2 linked regions of the Saccharomyces cerevisiae S288C genome follow. Changing the gene in region 1 together with any one later gene gives a genetic interaction. Each region holds a gene or a part of one and is shown in the gene's direction. Other genes may lie near its edges.

Region 1 (3,369 bases):
TTGCACAATAAAAACTTTAGCAACGGCAATTGGTTGATCTGTCTCCTTGGAATCTTGCAACAGAATACACATATGATAGCATATAGTGATGTCGCAAAATGTATCACAAAAAAAATACTACCTTTATCCATGAATTTTGTAAATTTAGGTGATGAGCTCTGGGATAACTTTCGCAAGAGATTATCTATAAAAGATAAAATTGATGTTTTATGGGTTCTCGTAGATTTTGCGTCCAATTTCTCGAGTTATATTAAGGAGTTGGTAGATAAAGTACCAAAACTGTGCAATGGAATCCGCTTAAAGTTGGATAGTGCAAAAAAAGAGTATATCAAATTGAAACGGCAACTAAAAACGTTAACCAAAAATCGCGTGAAGCTTCACAGCAACGTTTCAATGAACCGATATGGATCAGATGAATGTAAAGGTAAGGTCAATGCCCTTAAAGTGAAAATTGCATACTTAATGGAAGATATCGCCTTCCTAGAGGCAAAATTGATTCAGAGCGATATCAAGAGACTAGAGATTTTGGGTAAAGATAGAAATGGAAATCGATATTATTGGATGGACTCAAATGGATCGTCATCAGCCATCAGTGAAAAAAATGAGGAACTTTACAACTGCTGTTTTTTGTGGGTTCAAGGACCCTCTGAAGCGGATATAAACTTTTGCTTAGATGTCGACGTCGAATCTTTGAAAAAATGGGAGTTGTTAGCTAAAGCAAAAGGTACTGCCTACGCGACAAAAGAAGTCTTTTCAATATTTAGGTCGACAGACGGGTCTTACTATCAAATTGCTCAAGGTGAGAATTTCATGATAATTAATTCAAACGGTATCTTAATGAGGCCAACTATTCCGGCATTCATAGACAAAAAAATTATATCAGAAACTCCAGAAAAGCTCCTACTCTCTCATCATCAATGGGCTTTCTTCAACGATATAGAAGATATACATATGTTAGTAGATAGGTTGGATGATTTAAGAGAAAATGAGGGACAATTGAAGAAAGCTTTGACATCCAAAATGGACCGTATTGAAGTATCATACAAGCAACAGTTCAAAATTAAAAGGCGTATTGAATGTGATGAAACCTTCAAAAAAAATCACAAACTTTTGAAAAATAACGAGTTCACGTTTCCTGAACTGAAAAGAATTGAGACAACTTGTACATCCAACGGCCAACATTTTTCCAACATGGAGAAAATTTCCAAAAAACTATCAAGGACAAAGAATGATCTCGTTTTGGAAGCGATTTTAAAAGACGTAGCTCACCTTGGAGAATGTGAAAGAGCACTTCTCAAAAAGCAACAAAATTTGATTTATCCTTTGAATTTTCATTTCGAACAATTGAGGACGATAGACCTCGAATTTATAGTTGAAACGAAAAGAAAAAGGCAAGAGGATATTCTTACGAAGCTTTTAAATCATCAGAGGTATAAGCATATTAGTCATGTTTCAGGCTATGGGATAAGTTCTCAACGAGTAGATAAAGCTGCACATCTTGATGTGCAGGGTATATTAGAGGAGATTGAATGTCAACTTATTTCAAGACGACGAGAGGATGAAGAACGCAACTAGAAACAACTCTGCAGTTCAAATCACTCTTCCTGTATACGCCTTAGAAAGATATTAGAAATATCTTTTACTATTTAATCTTCACCATTCATTATTCCTCGTATATAAATTGGCCCATTTCAGGGCGTCTGACTGGAGTTGTATTTAGGCTTTACCCGGCGTTCTTCTGAATTTATAGCCAGCAAGGAAAACAACGTCAAAATTGGTCCTCGACTGACGCATTAGTAAGATTAATATTTAGCAAACACTATGATCTCCGTAACAATCTCTTCAGCTATTCCAACACTTGATGATGTCAGTCAATAGATTTACTTCAGGTCGACTCCCTGTTTTCCTTAGAAAGTCCCCTTTTTACTACTCGAGAGCTTATTTGCATCAAACATGTGTTTTCAAGCAAAATAAAGAAACTGCACAAGATTCGCCAGAGCTTTTAGCAAAAAGCTCACATCTGAATTCGAAACCACTAGATGTAAGCAATAAAGCACCAGTGAAAACTGCTCAGAATAAAATTCCTCTAGCTCATAGTAAATATGAATCGTCAAAGTACGAACTTCCCAAATGGAAAGAAGCCTTGGGTGAACTAGTAATTCGAGCATTTCATTTAGATATGGATAGAGTGAGGGCAGGGCCCGTTGCAGGATCTTACTATTATAAAATTTGTAAAGAGCAAGGTTTACAATACGAGGACGAGCCATTATCAGAAACTGCTAAATACTTTTACGAGGATTTGAAGCTACCACGTACTTTTTCACAATGGTTTCAAATCACTGTATTGCACGAGTGGATACTTTTTGTACGTATGAGAGCCATGCCTTTCAAATACGGCAGAAACTATCAGCAGAAATTGGTAGATAGAACATTTTCTGACATTGAGCTGAGATTATTCGAGGAAATGAAAGTTAATTCTGGTAGAATCGCAGATCAATATTTGAAAGATTTCAATACGCAATTAAGAGGAGCGATATTTGCATATGATGAAGGATTTGCTACAGATGATGGTACACTTGCGACAGCTGTCTGGAGAAATCTTTTTGGTGGAAGAAAGAACATTGATATGGTTCATTTAGAGTCTGTTGTGAGATACATTTATTCTCAACTATATGTTCTAAGCAGGTTATCAGACAGAGAGTTTGCCACAGGTAAATTCAAGTTTGTTCCTCCTGGGGTGAAGGTCGAAAAACTGACACCAAAGCAAGAGGAAGAGTTGAAGGCCAAGACCATTGCAAAATATGAAGCTCTAGACAAGGATCCTAAAACCTTACCAAGCGAGAGAAGTAGGCTGTCATATACAAACTAAACGAGCTAGTTTGTAACTTCAAAACTTATGAAAACACTTATTTATTCTTCAGATACTATCCGCACAAATTCCTTAAGTTTTTTCCAATTTTTTGGGCTTTCTTCCTTATTTAATCAGTTTATAAAATCATTACGTTGTAAATAGTTTATTTGAATTTCTTCAAAGAAGCGGACCACTTTTCTGGTTTATTTTCATGGAATAATTGATATAATGCGTCAATCAATTCGACATGGAATGAACCACTTCCTTGACAACGGGTGGAAGCCAACTTACCAGCTGATTTGTATAATAGGACAGCACCAACCACAGCATCAAACAGTTTTCCAGTGGAATCTAACCCACCGATAAAGGAAGCAATTGTAGAACCAAGTGAACATCCACTTGCAGTGATGTCACCCATGATAGGAATTGGGCCATCTTCAATTATTACACATGGAAGATCTTCAGCGGTTATTCCTTCTGTTCCTGATGAAAGTTTGTATTCGCCTCCAAAAGTACCA
Region 2 (2,849 bases), on another chromosome or scaffold:
AAAATTTTCATACAACAAATCATAAAACTTGAAGGCGCCACCACCAGTGGCAATTATATGAGTCATTCTATAGCATCCATTGTTATGTTCTTTGATAATAGAATGCAGAAGTTCCATGAACTTGTCAATTTTCTCTGTTTCAATGGTGTAGAACATCAGCCTGTTACTGTGTATAGGCGAGAAGACTACTTTAGCCAGAGTGCCTCCTATATCAATAGCAAGGTTGAAAGTATTGTCGCCATAATCGCAATTGTAAGATATCTCTTGAGTAATTCGCGGCATTGCGATTCTTTTCGCATGCACTCAATTGGAACTATAAATTTCTTTATTCTGGTAGTTTTTTAGTTTTAATGATCAATCTGTTCAGAAACATAAGTTCTTTTTACTCATCGTTATGTTGGTGAAATAAAATTTCGGCCGATATTGGGGGAACTGCGCTAGTCGTTTAACGTCATGTAAGATTCCTAAGTGGAACAGTCAGAAGTAAAAAAAAAAAAATCGGTCCCGGCAATTACAAACTAAAGGAGCTCAATGCGTAGATCGCGGATAGTTCTCCGCATTTGAGTGAAACTTTTTGAGATACTGTCGTAAATACGCAATCATGAACGACCATATGAATAATACTCGATCATACCAACGTCACGTGTAAAGCTTTTGCCTGTTTCGAAAATGTGTTGAACTATTGAAATATAATAAAATTAAAAGGCAACCGAGCCCCTGGGTCAGAGAAAATAGGAAGACAAAGATGATTGAAGAGAATTTGAAACAGAAAATCCACGATAAGTTCGTTGCAGCCAAAAAGAATGGGCATCTGAAAGTAACGCATGCAGAATCCAAGAAGTTGAAAGATCCTCAAACGACGACACAATATTGGGTGACATTTGCTCCATCTTTGGCACTTAAGCCAGACGCTAACAAGAATAGCGATTCAAAGGCGGAGGACCCGTTCGCCAATCCCGACGAAGAACTAGTGGTGACTGAAGATCTAAATGGTGACGGAGAATATAAGCTGCTACTCAACAAATTTCCTGTGGTCCCTGAACATAGTCTCCTAGTGACAAGCGAGTTTAAAGACCAGAGATCTGCTTTGACGCCAAGTGACTTGATGACTGCTTATAATGTGCTCTGTTCTCTCCAAGGAGACAAGGACGATGATGTCACTTGTGAAAGGTATCTGGTCTTTTATAATTGTGGACCTCATAGCGGTTCCTCACAAGATCACAAACACTTGCAGATCATGCAAATGCCTGAAAAATTTATACCTTTTCAGGACGTATTGTGCAACGGAAAGGATCATTTCTTGCCCACCTTCAACGCAGAGCCATTACAAGATGATAAGGTTTCCTTTGCTCATTTCGTCTTGCCGCTGCCGGAATCGTCTGATCAAGTGGACGAAGATCTTCTTGCTATGTGTTACGTATCTTTGATGCAGAGAGCACTTACATTTTTCCAAGATTGGACCAATGAGTCTCCGGAGTTGACCAAGTCATACAATGTGCTACTGACCAAGAAATGGATCTGTGTAGTTCCAAGATCGCATGCCAAGAGTGGACCGCCATTGATGTTAAACATTAACTCCACGGGGTACTGTGGTATGATCCTCGTTAAAGACAGAGAAAAACTAGAGAACCTCACTGAAGATCCTCATCTTGTGGACAAGTCGTTACTGCAATGCGGTTTCCCCAACACAGCAGGCCAAAAACCAACAGAGTATCACTATTAAGGTCTATTAGCCATATGTACATTGTCTATAGATGTGTAACTGCGCTGTGATCTTGTTTTGACCAATCAGGAGCGACGCGCTTTTTATCGGGTCACCCCGGCGGGGGGCCTGACAATTTACTTTCATAGAGCAGTAATAAAAGGGAAGAGATGTAAAAGCTTGGAAAAATAGCAGTAAAGGTTGTTGTTGGACAATTTATCAGAATATTAGTAACTGTAATTAAACGTTCCAGAAAGAACAAAATGCCACAGTCTTTTACGTCTATTGCGAGAATTGGTGACTATATTTTGAAGTCACCCGTCCTCTCCAAGTTATGTGTTCCAGTTGCCAATCAGTTCATTAACCTCGCAGGTTACAAGAAGTTAGGGCTCAAATTTGACGACTTAATTGCAGAGGAAAATCCCATCATGCAGACCGCTTTAAGAAGACTCCCTGAAGATGAATCTTATGCCAGAGCATATAGAATAATCAGGGCTCATCAAACCGAGTTGACTCATCATTTACTGCCAAGAAACGAATGGATCAAAGCCCAAGAGGATGTTCCTTACCTGTTGCCATACATATTAGAAGCTGAAGCTGCAGCTAAGGAGAAGGACGAGTTAGACAACATAGAGGTCTCCAAATGAAAAGAAGAATAAAAAAATCACCACGAACACACAACCCGAAAAAAAAAAGGCATTAAATATTCATTTGAAAGAAGGGACAGAGACTAAATCATATCCTTTATTATCTCTCTATATATATATAAGCGTTTGCTTGAAACGTTTACTTCATATTATTTATTTATCTATAGTCTGAACTTAAAATTTTATTATGAAATTCGTATATTGTAATGTCTAGTGTTATAAATCGGGTATCTATTAGTATTTATTTTTTCTATAATTATGCAGGTGATGGGGTATCGAGTGGTCTATATATCTTAAATTTATTCTACTATTTCCTAGTGCAGAATAACTTGGCGAAAATTTTGAACTTTCTATTCTTCTTAAAAGATTTTTCTTCATACTGAGTTGAACTGTGCTTACTATCCTTGTTAATGGGAGCAGATTTTTGTTTCGTCGGCAAAATGACACTTTTATCAGATCCACTAGTTTCGTTGTATACGTGGAGGGGTTCTCCTCGTAGT

Evidence for each region.
Region 2: of CBP3 (region 1) and QCR7, changing one suppresses a phenotype caused by changing the other (phenotypic suppression), as found in Saccharomyces cerevisiae (one study listed by BioGRID).

Annotation. Positions count from the first base shown.
Region 1 is NC_001148.4:145,555-148,923, forward strand, and holds CBP3 (Cbp3p), read left to right. Parts: upstream 1-1,861; coding exon 1,862-2,869; downstream 2,870-3,369. Other genes in the region: YPL216W (uncharacterized protein), read left to right, coding at 1-1,575; THI6 (bifunctional hydroxyethylthiazole kinase/thiamine-phosphate diphosphorylase), read right to left, coding at 3,015-3,369. UniProt on the Saccharomyces cerevisiae protein: Chaperone required for the assembly of ubiquinol-cytochrome c reductase of the mitochondrial respiratory chain.
Region 2 is NC_001136.10:1,495,665-1,498,513, reverse strand, and holds QCR7 (ubiquinol--cytochrome-c reductase subunit 7), read left to right. Parts: upstream 1-1,965; coding exon 1,966-2,349; downstream 2,350-2,849. Other genes in the region: CAB1 (pantothenate kinase), read right to left, coding at 1-282; APA2 (bifunctional AP-4-A phosphorylase/ADP sulfurylase), read left to right, coding at 746-1,723; HLR1 (Hlr1p), read right to left, coding at 2,657-2,849. UniProt on the Saccharomyces cerevisiae protein: Component of the ubiquinol-cytochrome c oxidoreductase, a multisubunit transmembrane complex that is part of the mitochondrial electron transport chain which drives oxidative phosphorylation.